4 linked regions of the Saccharomyces cerevisiae S288C genome follow. The gene in region 4 interacts genetically with the main gene of each other region. Each region holds a gene or a part of one and is shown on either strand. Other genes may lie near its edges. The genes, in order: PFS1, YDR222W, YHR140W and IRC19.

What was found.
Region 1: mutations in IRC19 (region 4) and PFS1 together harm fitness more than expected from each alone (negative genetic interaction), as found in Saccharomyces cerevisiae (one large-scale study listed by BioGRID).
Region 2: mutations in IRC19 (region 4) and YDR222W together harm fitness more than expected from each alone (negative genetic interaction), as found in Saccharomyces cerevisiae (one large-scale study listed by BioGRID).
Region 3: mutations in IRC19 (region 4) and YHR140W together harm fitness less than expected from each alone (positive genetic interaction), as found in Saccharomyces cerevisiae (one large-scale study listed by BioGRID).

What each region holds. Positions count from the first base shown.
Region 1 is NC_001140.6:474,127-477,171, reverse strand, and holds PFS1 (Pfs1p), read left to right. Parts: upstream 1-1,831; coding exon 1,832-2,545; downstream 2,546-3,045. Other genes in the region: ubiquitin-binding TORC1 subunit KOG1, read left to right, coding at 1-1,173; SSP1 (Ssp1p), read right to left, coding at 2,713-3,045. UniProt on the Saccharomyces cerevisiae protein: Involved in the pathway that organizes the shaping and sizing of the prospore membrane (PSM) during sporulation. Required to localize MPC54 to all four spindle pole bodies, and localize DON1 and SPO14 to four prospore membranes.
Region 2 is NC_001136.10:908,145-911,830, forward strand, and holds YDR222W (uncharacterized protein), read left to right. Parts: upstream 1-1,909; coding exon 1,910-3,157; downstream 3,158-3,686. Other genes in the region: GTB1 (Gtb1p), read left to right, coding at 1-1,294.
Region 3 is NC_001140.6:378,956-381,816, forward strand, and holds YHR140W (uncharacterized protein), read left to right. Parts: upstream 1-1,616; coding exon 1,617-2,336; downstream 2,337-2,861. Other genes in the region: SPS100 (Sps100p), read right to left, coding at 1-244; YHR139C-A (uncharacterized protein), read right to left, coding at 1,153-1,464.
Region 4 is NC_001144.5:71,778-74,611, forward strand, and holds IRC19 (Irc19p), read left to right. Parts: upstream 1-1,631; coding exon 1,632-2,324; downstream 2,325-2,834. Other genes in the region: putative AAA family ATPase RIX7, read right to left, coding at 1-1,369; YLL032C (uncharacterized protein), read right to left, coding at 2,493-2,834. UniProt on the Saccharomyces cerevisiae protein: Involved in sporulation and maintenance of the mitochondrial DNA. Is probably involved in a pathway contributing to genomic integrity.

The sequences.
Region 1 (3,045 bases), on a different chromosome or scaffold from region 4:
GTTGAGTATAATGCTAGATTGTGGAGACGTAACAGAAATGAAACTATTATCCAGGAAACACAGGGGGAGAAAAAATTATCGATTTATGGGAATTGGTCCAAAAAATTGATTAGTTTAAATAACAAAAGTCAACCAAAACTGATGAAGTTTGCCCAGTTTGAAGATCAGCTGATTACTGCAGATGATAGAAGTACCATTACAGTTTTTGATTGGGAGAAAGGAAAGACTTTGTCCAAATTCTCCAATGGTACTCCTTTTGGCACAAAAGTTACTGACCTGAAACTCATTAACGAGGATGACTCCGCCCTTTTATTGACAGGTTCTTCAGACGGTGTTATCAAAATATACAGAGACTACCAAGATGTCGACACCTTTAAAATTGTATCCGCCTGGAGAGGCTTGACCGATATGTTATTGACACCTAGATCCACAGGTTTACTAACCGAATGGTTACAAATAAGAGGATCATTGTTAACAACTGGTGATGTTAAGGTTATCCGTGTCTGGGATGCGCATACAGAAACGGTTGAAGTGGACATTCCTGCAAAAACATCATCTTTAATTACATCCTTGACGGCTGATCAGCTAGCAGGTAATATCTTCGTAGCAGGGTTTGCAGATGGCTCCCTGAGAGTATATGATCGCCGTCTCGATCCAAGAGATTCCATGATACGTCGCTGGAGAGCTGGAAATGATAAGCAGGGAGTTTGGATTAACAATGTTCATTTACAAAGAGGTGGTTACAGAGAATTGGTCAGTGGAGCTACCAATGGTGTTGTAGAGTTATGGGATATAAGGTCCGAAGATCCGGTAGAATCGTTTGTTGATCAAAACGTAACTTCTCAGTACGGTTCGCAACAAAAACCAACGACAATGACGTGCATGCAGGTTCATGAGCATGCTCCGATAATTGCGACAGGGACTAAACAAATAAAGATATGGACGACATCTGGAGATCTTTTGAATTCTTTTAAAAACTCACATAATAATGGCGTAACAAGTACATTAGCCGCTACGGGAATCCCAAAGTCACTGTCCTACTCTTCCACTTCTGATGCATTTTTATCTTCGATGGCTTTCCATCCTCATAGAATGATGATTGCGGCCACCAATTCTCACGATTCTATTGTAAATATCTACAAGTGTGAAGACGAGAGAATTGATTATTTTTGATATGTGCCATTTCTTTTTTTTTCTTTCATTTAGCTGCAAAAGAGATATATATATATATATATATATAATCTATTATATAATAAAAGTCGAGTAAAAAATTGGTCTGATTGTGAATTTAACAGCTGGTCGCAAGTTCTGGAATTTGTTGTTAATTATTGTTTCATGTTCGTATAATAATACGATGTTTAGTAAAGCAGAAAGTTCAGAATATTAAAAGTCTGTTCCAATAGTGTAGCGGCTATCACGTTGCCTTCACACGGCAAAGGTCCCGAGTTCGATCCTCGGTTGGAACATTTTAACATCGATTTTTTTGTTTGTCATAGCCAGACCAATTACGACGTTTAGAGGCATGCACTTTGTTAAATATTTTTTCTCTCTCCTTCGACATATTTTTTTTCCTGTTTACGTAACATTCATCCCCAGTCTTTGTATCATTTTTTTTTTTTTTTGGTGATGCGACAGCAATTCTGGCCGACACAGTCGTTTTCAAAGAAAAACTACCACAAACTATGGAACATAATTGAAAACAAAAACATTTACTTATAACCTACATAATGATTGAAGATACTTCATTGATCTTTACCACCTTCCTCGTTGAAATCTTTTCTACCATAGTCAGTATTTTTGGGAATTTTATAAAAACGCAAATTTTATCGAAATGAATCAAGGTTACACACAGCTTTCCGCACCGGAACTGAAGGAGACTAAAACATCGAAGCTAAATAAAATGAACAACTTTCGAAGCTCTCCGATTGCTGAGATAATTAATAAGATACCACCAGATTGCGGGAAGATACAGAATACAACATTTCCTGAGTTCAATCCAGCGTTAAGAAGACGACAACACGAACAGTGGCCTGCATACGAAAAACCAATAAGAGTTACTGACAGTATGTCACCACAGCTTTCTTCAATCAATTGTTTGCCAAATTTGTATCCCCACGGTACGCTACCATTACCAAACCCTTATTTATCCTATTTAAATCACATTGAAAAAGTTAATTGCCAAGATGTCAAGTTTAGTAACTGGAGTGTTTTACATAATTCGAATAATGGATTTGAAATTCCGACATATTTCAGTCCACGGACAACACAAAACATGCCTTGTTCCGAAAAAGTTGAAAGCTGGCTTGAAAGATTACCAATTTTTGTGGGGTTCGACGGTTATTTATTTACAAACTGCTTTGATTATGAATATATGTTGGATTGGGAAGAGACAGAATTTACATTCGAGAAAACATCATGTATGGAGACGGATTATTCTAAAGCTTTAACCGATACTGATATTATATATATTCAAGAGAAAAAAATTGAAGCGTTGATAAGAAACCAATATCTGAAGGAGTATGAATTTTCTCAAAAAGATTTTTGAATTTTGAAGAAAGCCATTAATATTTAAATGTAATTTTGTGTAGAATTATAATAAATTGATGTTTATGTATAGATCTCTCGAAATATATTTAAGAATATATAAATAATAAATGTACAACAATAAGCATAGAACATGGAATGAGTGTTCAAACTATATTCGTTTGTTTTTTAGATAGGAGTTCTCCAGACGTTTTCATCCAAGTTTTGTTTTGCATCATTTAAAGCTGCAGCAAGAACTTTGCTTTCTTCACTTGCAGACTCCGGTTTGACTTGAGTTTTTTTAATGGAAAGATTCCTCAAACTAGCGGCATTGACATTTACATTTCTTTTCGTGCTTCTTAAAATCAAGGAATCATTTGATTCGAGATTCTCCTTCTTTATTTCAGGTTGCGATATCGATGGAACTTCTGCAGTTGAAGAGCTGATATTTTTTGCCTCTTTCTCTTCTTTTTCCTGAGCGAGAAGTTCAACTAATTGATCGGGCTCAAGTTCTTTCGCAGA
Region 2 (3,686 bases), on a different chromosome or scaffold from region 4:
ATCAGAGGCCTATACTCCCTCGCTAAATGATAAAGTTGTCAATGATAATATTAAAAAATTCAGAAAAGTTAGAAGACGGGCTGAAAAGGCTAAAATTAATGCAGATAGCAAAATTGATGATGAGCAGGCAGATAATCTTTACTTGTACTTTACAGAAGAAGTACCTCAAATTTTTTTGAAAAGAGAATCTGAGAACACGTTGAGGTACGTCATAGGAAAATCCAATTTTGTTCAAGCGCTAGTGGAGGGTAAAATTAACTATACCAACGATATCTTGGAGTATATCAGAGAATTCCGTTTGATTATGGATGATATTTCTCAGAATTACAATGTTAACTTTCAAGATGCAGGGGTCAAAAGTGCTGTCGATTCGTATAAAAACTACCTAGGTGAATACGGCGAACTGGCTGAATTAGAACCAGCTCACCCGTCAGAGAGCCTTTTGAGATCGTTGAGCGAAGTAACATCATTTGTGAACGAGAATGCACCAAAGGTATTGCCACCAGACGCTGTTGAGTCAGAACAAGATACGAACAGCGATCATATCGGTACTTCTGGAGATTTGCGCAATAAACTCAAAGAGATTCTATCTAAGCTGAATATTTTTTCATCTAGAAAAGATTTGGTCTCATTAGAGAAGAGATTCCGCTCTTGTGAAAGTCAAGTCAGTCTCCTGGAGAATGAATTAAAGCAAAAAATGGACTATAAGAAATTATTAGATGAAACTGAAGATGAAGGAACTAATTCTACTGCAGGAAATCTGACTGAGCTTTTAGAACTAATGGGATCACAATCCTATTGTCTTGACGACATACTGGACAACTATGTGTACACTATATGCTTTCAACGTCCAATGACCGAAGGTGTCATATATCAAGCTGAGGATAAGGTTGACGGTAAAAAAGTTTTGATCGGTCGTTTTAAGACATCAGGTTTTAATGTTGACTTAAACATGGAAAAATACGCAGAACATTTAAAGGCCACATATGATGAGAAGAGTGATTTGATTTCAAACTTAGCAGCTATACAGGACGATGACGGTAACATGCAACATTACGTATTCGGGAACTTAAACGAACTGAATAATGGTCTGGTACTAGAATACGAAAATGGAGACCAGTGCTGGAATGGTCCGCGCAGATCGGCTACTGTATTTGTTCGGTGCAGCGACAAATTCAAGATTCGGAGTGTACATGAAGCGACTAAGTGCAACTACATCTTCGATGTCGTTGGTCCTCTAGGCTGCAACAAGACTTTCGAATACGAGCCCCCTAAGTTCAATTTAAGTGAATGACTGGAAAATGAGTAGTTAGGCTTTTTTAGTAAGTAAACAACTAGGAAGGCCGATGCTGTGCCGTGATACTCTTTTCCGCAACAAAAGCAATATTTCCCTCGGCCAAAACGCGAAAAGACGATAAATAAGTATATCGTTCCAAATACTGATAGTTCTGTACGACCTGTTGGAATAACGCGAAAAGAAGGGTACGGCGTAATCACCCCACACGGCTTGTATTTTTTTCGGAGAACTAAGTCATAGACGTAATGCTAATTTTTCCGTCTAGCCGATGTTTATGCGGCTTTTATTTTTTTTTTTTTTTTTTTCTCATCTTTGTTCTTCCGGTTTCCAAGATGTCTCACAGATTATTACAGTGAATTCCAAAATCATGTTTACTACTGGAATTTGTATGCATATGTTTTGGCAATCTTAAGCCTACGGATTTTAAATGTGATGGATATAACGAACAGTGTTTACTGGAGACTCACTTCTCTGGGCTTGAGTTTACGATGTATAGTCATATAAAAATGAAGAAATTTCTTGAGTGACAATTGCCGCCGTACTTCGTATTGTCTTTTCTTGACAGTGAGGGCGTATAAGATACATCGTACATACATAGAGACTCATTTAGTGATGCTTGAATCGAGCAGTGATAAGATAAAGTTTGCGCCTATTAAAGAGGTAGATTACAAAAAACCGGTAAGTAAGAGTAAGAACTATACTCTTATTAATGACATCCAACCATTGGAGTGGTATTGTCACAATGATAGTGAAACGGGCTACCAACACACCATAAGTAACAAGACAGATGGTGGTAGAGGTTTATTCAGAGTGATGAAAAAATCGATGGAGACCAGAGTCGAGACCCAAACGTTATATTTCACAGATTTGCATACAGGCTTGTGTGGATTTGTTCAATTACTGTATTCTACGGTTATGGGTGGTATCTATAAAGGCTTCCAATTGAATTTCAAGGTTTTTGGCTCAGAAAGTAATAATACTGACTACGACGTTTGGGAAAGTTTTAAATTGGATGACATAGCTGAATTTCAACCATTAAAGTTTGTCTCTAGAAATGTTATTTTTGAATTTTTGAGCAACAAAAATGAAAAATTAGGTTCCATTGGCCAGTTATCTATCAAATGTGATTTACCAACATGTAACAATACAATTCAAAATTTGAAAATCGATTTGTTGGTGGATTTGTTTCAAGGTTTTAAGATGAACCCCAACGGTTGCAATTATTATTTTGACAAACAAATCTCGATGAGTGACGAATTCGTTTCCTCAGACAAAATGATCAGACATGTTTTTGTGCCCAGAGGTAAATGTAATGGTAATATTTCCTACGATAAAAAACTCAATAGTGGGGACTTTCAAAATAAAAATATTTCATTAACTGATGTTCCTGTCGTTTATCTGGACGCTGTTCAAGGTCTTTTGCCGAATAAAGCAGCCAGTAAATGGAATTTCCTATGTTTTCAGAGCGAAAACTACTCTGTTTTAGCAATTGAATTCACTACTCCTCGAGATCATGATAACGTCACCGTAACAGTTTGGTCAATTACTGAAAAAAACAAACTGATATCTATTGGTTCTTCTGTGCAGAGCCCAAAACGTCATGTTAGGTTCCGTGCTACGAGTACAGATAAGGAAAGCGGCTGGGTATATCCAACCTCTATCAAGTTCCCCGGTGGATTTTCAGAACACGACTTGAGGCTGGTTAATCGATACGACGTTCTCGGTGAGTTACCAAGCATGGTCAGGTCGTTAGCTCAGAAAATTGTGAGCATCAAACCTTTCATTTATCAATACTGTCAACCTTCTAAATATAAGCACGAGAAAGGTATTTCTATCGTTGAGAGCACCTTCATTAGTTGAACAAAAGCGTGAACACTTCCACATGAAATTCGTTTTTTGTCCTTTTTTTTCTCTTCTTTTTCTCTCCTGTTTCTTCTACCAACTTTACCTAATAATTAATGTGTAATCGAATTTTTTTACATAATCACTACCTAATAACTAATTTATCATCACTTTTTTTTTTCATTTTGAGGCCACACTTTCCCCCATGGACTATTGCATCATTGCGCCATGCTTCTTACTTGCGTAAGCCATAGAACGGAAATATCATGTTCCCCTTGCCGCATGCATATTGAAAACATCACGGGAACGAGAAGAATGGCATTTTCGAAATAAAAAGAAATCATATTTCAAATGTTGGGGAGAGAAAGCAAAGGGGAATCAATAATCATTAAGGGAAGTCGATGAAAGTTTCCTTTTCCGAACTCTACCTCGCCTTATATAAAACCTTGGTCTAAACGGATAAACCGAGATGTAGTTGAGTTTGTGAATCCAGTTCTTGTCCTTCTTCCTCTTTCAAAAAGTGAAGCAATCAGTTGAGAGTGTAGCT
Region 3 (2,861 bases), on a different chromosome or scaffold from region 4:
CGCTTTGTAAAGTCTGATTAACTTGAGTAGCAATTTGGTAAAGTTGAGTGATGTTTAAGGTGGAAGTAGAGTTGAATAGCGTTGTGGTAGTAACGTTTGACTGGCTACCAGATACAGCAGGTCCACCCGTGATGATCACGGGGACCGTACCGCCGCCAGAAGTAACGTTCTGCCTCTTGTAAAGTGGTGTTGCAGAAGCTGTTAAAGTTGCAAGAAAAAATGCTAGCACTGATGTGAATTTCATAATAGCTGATTGGGTTCTTAGATGTGAAAACTGATCGAAATCAAATACTAGAGCATGATTGATAGGAACAAGAGAAACCAAAAGTGTTTTTAGCTTTCCTCCCAATTTTTATAGTATTCTAATGAGTAACGTCTTAGGGGAATTTTCAACAAGGCATTTCTAAAAGGGGATGCTAGTTGCACATTCTGAGAGAATCATTTGTACACGTTTTTCCCTATTTTCTGCTCATAAACCGAGGATCATCAGCGTTAAATGTAATTGCTAAGCCAAGAACTTTTGCTACTCTAACATTACATATTTGAAGGGTACAGTGAGATTCCCCAACAGGAATTCGCTTCTGTACATCAGCCGGTATTCGCTGAGAACTACTGTAGCCCTTAACTGTTGAATGATCTTTTTCTGGTAGATCATCGGCTTCTTTTGACGCAGGAAAAGGCCCGTGTCACTTCGGCTTAGCTTCTTTCGGCGATTTTCAAGGGAAGCGTCTGCACCTTAACGCAGACAAATGACGCATGATATGCACCCTTAAGGCGGACTTGATCTTCAGATCCCTCAAATGGTAAATGTGCCATAAGGTGGCCAAATTCCAACTAAAAATGATAAATAGGTAATGAATTGTTCACTATGCAGCGTTGCCACCGTTACGCCTCCCCCTTATTTTTCATTTCCGTTTCCATCCAGTTTTTCAGCCTCCTTGAACCCTACCATTAGTAATGGAAGCAATAATCTCATAGCAGCAATTGAAAAAAAAAAAGCATATTCGCTCACATTAAAATAATGAGATAACATGAGATGGCTTGGAATTATAAGCGTTCGCTGACCTGAAAAAGGCGCGGGGCTAATGGACCCATTCGTTAAAATGACCTTAAGCATCCACACATGCAGAATAAAAGAACTTAACCTATTCCTTAGGAAAGTTTATGTATTTGCTGGTACCCTCTTCCTTCTTTGGCCTCTTTTCTGACGTGAATGTCACATGTTAACATTTTTGTCAAATAGCGTCCATCTATTTGAACAAATGCTATCATTTTTGGGGATACAAATTCTATAAGAGGTTCCTGTTTGCAGCATCTAAAAACAGAGCGTGAAACGCATGCAGAAGTGACATATAATCCTTTGTTTAAGCGACAATTAAAAATAATGATCGCTCTCTTTTCCTTTTCAGACTTGCTCATTAAATTTGACAAGATCCGCGGATTAGAGAAGTCTGCGCTTCGCATTTAATGAAAAGATCTCCGATAAGTATATAAGTCCCTTTTTTCTCGAATTATATAAGTCACTTTCTATATGTCAGTGATTATCTCTACACTAGTCTTGCTGTATTCTTAGCAAATTTTTCTCGTATTTTAAAACCATAATACAAGGAGAATCCATGATGTCTTGTCTGGTACCAACACGTTTTACTTTGACCCTTAACACCGCGTGTCTTTTGACGAGCACCTGGGGGTTTGTTAGGGCCACATCTGTAGTCTTACCTCCAAGTTTAAGTAAAGCAGGCCATAAACAGTTTCTAACCATTATATCTATTATTGCAACAATCATTAATAACGCGGTTAACATTTCTAATTATTATATCCAAAGAAACAATAAGATGAATCTAGAAACCAAGAAAAAATCAGACTTTATTAGTAGACATGTCACTTTGCCAGTTTCTTTAGTATTAGAATCTATTGTTGCTACCGTTTATTGGCCGCTTAGATTGTTTTTTGTCAACTTAATAATGCATGGAGTTGAATCTACTGCAAAGACACCTTTTCCTATGACAGTGGATATGGCAATCCACTTATATCCTATTTTATATTTACTAGCCGATCACTACTTATCGGGATCTGGCACGAAATTCAAATTATCGAATAAGCATGCATGGCTCATTGTAACCAGTTTAGCATTTTCATATTTTCAATATTTAGCATTCCTGATAGATGCGGGGCAAGGCCAAGCCTATCCATACCCGTTTCTAGACGTGAACGAGCCGTACAAGTCGATTATATTTGTTGTTGTTGCTACTATTACGTGGGCTTATTATGTATTTTATCAAAAGTTTCCGCCAAAATACATCAAGAAGTCGGCAAAGAAAGGTGATAAGAATTAGCATTACTACTAGTATACTACTATTTAAGCTCTTTGTATGTAAAGTGAGCAAATCTCAAATTTTGCTACTTAATTCTTATTTTCGTGCTAGCCCTACAACGGAACCCAAAAAATCAATCACCAGGGTAAGCGGGAAAAAAAAAAAGTGTAGGAACCGCACTATAAAAAGTCGAAGGTTTGTATTAATTTTCCACACCTCTTTAGTTTTGTTATAATCAAATTCCTTTTGGTTTTTGTTTTAAAAAGGCCAACATCATAATTATATCGCGAATGTACTACTAGTATATGCAGTTTTCTTAAAATTGCAGGGAATGACTAAAAGCCCACGTTTTTCCCACTTTTAGTAGTACTGAAGCGTAGATAGATTGAACGTTGCTGGGCGCCTGGTGTTGATCATTTCTGAAATGAGATATTGGGAATCAGCTGTATCTACATTTTATTTATACATATTTATTTTTACTGGTTCTTAGTAACGTACTTTAGTAGCAATGCTGTGTTTTAGTGCGAACGCCTACGTGTCTTGTTA
Region 4 (2,834 bases):
CAATTTCCATGTTATCTTCTGAACTGTCCGTTGCCGTAGTTGGTGTGGATTTTATATTAGCATAGGTTTGGAAAATTCTTTTAATAGCGCATGTACCGGCAGCAGTAACTAAAGCCTTTAAATCAGCGCCAACAAAGCCTGGGGTTAATTTTGCCAATTTGGCAAAATCGATAGCACCATCAATTTTTAGGTTATCAGACATTTTCTTTAAAATATGTAACCTTGAGACTTCATTCGGGACATTCAGGCATATTTCTCTATCGAATCTACCTGCTCTTCTCAATGCTGCATCCAAAGAGTCAGGTCTATTCGTGGCACCTATGATAATAACAGGTTTTCCATTTGTCTTTTCCATCGTTAATTCATCCATTGAGGTCAATAATTGGGCAACTATTCTTCTCTCCATTTCTCTTTGGGCTCCTCCATCACGTTTTGGTGTAATGGCATCTATTTCATCAAAGAAAACAAGACATGGTGCCAAGCTTCTCGCTTCATCAAACAAATCCCTAATCTTTTTCTCGCTTTCCCCAGACATACCACTTACGACTGAAGGTGCAGAAATAGATATAAATGGGACTTGTAATTCTCCAGCTAACGCATTAGCAATCGACGTCTTACCGCAACCCGGTGGGCCATGCAACAGAACACCTCTAGGTGGTTCGACACCCGTGGATAAAAATATCTCTGGATGAAGAATGGGTAGACCTATTAGTTCCATAAGTTGTGCAACGACATCATCCATACCACCTAAGGATTTCAGAGACGAATTAGGTGGAGATCTATCTTCCTTGATTTTTTGACGTTTTACCTTACATGTACCTTCTTTGGATCTTTTTTTAGATTTTTTAACCTCTTCTGTCTTAGGATCATCAGTTTCTGTTATAGACTCGGAAACAGATCCAGATTTGGACCACGTGCTAGTTATGCGTTTGTTCATCTCATTTGTGTCTCGCTCAATCATCATATTTTTCTTAGCTAGTTCTTCTTCCAAGCTTGGTTTCTCTTCCTCTTCGTTGTTGTAACCTGGGTAAGAACCAAATTCTTCCAATTCTGATTCAATCACGTCTTTTAGCATGCGGTCAATTGTCTTTTGTAAGACAACTTTCTTAACTCTTTGAAGTGATAAATCTTTAGTCAAACAAAAGGTAAAAATCTCACCTGCTGTTAAATCTTTAGCGAAAAACATGGATTCAAATATATCCTCATCTTCTTCACCCTCGTTGTTCTCGCCCTCTTCTCCTTGGGATTCTTGTCTCAGAGACCTTTTTCTGTCCAAAGTTTTTTCTTCCAAGAGACGATAGATAAGATCGACGATCTTGTTATCTAGAGAACTTGTTAATGAGTTCTTTTTCGACTTTACTTTAACCATTATTCCAGCCTTCCCACCACGTAGCTATTATCGGCCCTAATGATCTTTTATTCTAACTGACTCGCAGATTAATTCACACATCGGTTGTTAATCATTGTTTGAATTTCCAAAATATGCGATGAGCTGAATGAAAAATTTTGGAACCTGTCACTATCGACGAACATCGAAGTTTGCCATGACAACCATATATGAAGAAAGCTTATGAGACTAGCTCGAGTATATCATACGTATGCATGTTAATCGCAGTTAAGCGGATAACACAATGCGTAAGCCTTCTATTACGATAACAACAGCAAAAGCTATTATAACTCCAGACTATACTCTTATTAAATCGCATTCTAAATACCAACTTCCTTCACGTTTTCAAAAGCTAGATGCAGACTCACCTGAGAGAAGTACAGTTGTTAAGCTATTTTACCGCCGATTTATGAGGCTTAAGCCTTTCATATCGAATGTGAAAATGGTTAAAGATACTTACAGGGATTATGTTCGATATAAGTTTATGAAAGAAAACTACGAACTCAAACGATACTTGGTATTCAATCCTGATGGCTTGAGGTCGAAAATCAATCTTGAGCTTCTCAGCAACACGAAATGTTGTGAAAGGATACTCCCCGTGACTGAGATGCAAAGAACCTTGGAATTTGTTCTGAAGAGCTGTTCATACTTGCCCGAAACAAAAGTTCAAAAGTGGGATATTGCAAGGGACAACACATATTGCAGGCAAATTTTAAAGAACCTTTTAACAATGCAATATGAAAAGTACAGATCGATTTTGCATAGAGGAATAGGCCATGATGAGCTTGACGTCAAATTCTCTCATTTGAAAACTACTTCTAGTCCGCTAACTAAGCTAAATAAAACCGAAAAGAAAAAGATTCCGCTTTTCAAAGTATTTAGTGATTTCGATACAACATTGATATATCTCAATGAGACATTAGGTACAAGGTTATAAAGATCATTATCGTAAAAGAGGAGCGGAGCGGAGCTTTTTAGTATGTATGGTAAAATATCAATCAAATACTGTAATAGATGCGGATATGCGCAATGACATATTTTGTGGTGTGCATATCCATTGAAAAGGTGCGTAGAACGTTACAATACTACTGAACTTTTTTCCTTCTCATTTTCTGCCATTTTGATATTTATGCCTATTATTGGTTTGAGCTTTATTAGAGTTGGCATAATTATAATCGTACTCGTATGTATATCCGTATCCATACCCATATCCGTTGTAATAAGTGTTTGGTATATATCCTTTGATGGCTTGGGCTCCTCCTACCGTCGTTATAACAGGCATTTTGTGGCGTTGTGGTGAGGCTCCTGATTGGCTGGTATTATCGATGGTCGTACGACTTTTGGCATTATTCATTGATCTGAAATTGCCATTGGTATTGCTATTACTGGTGTTACTCTTGCTGGAGGCAGACCCTAGAACAAATTTTTTAATTATTTTTTTAAATAT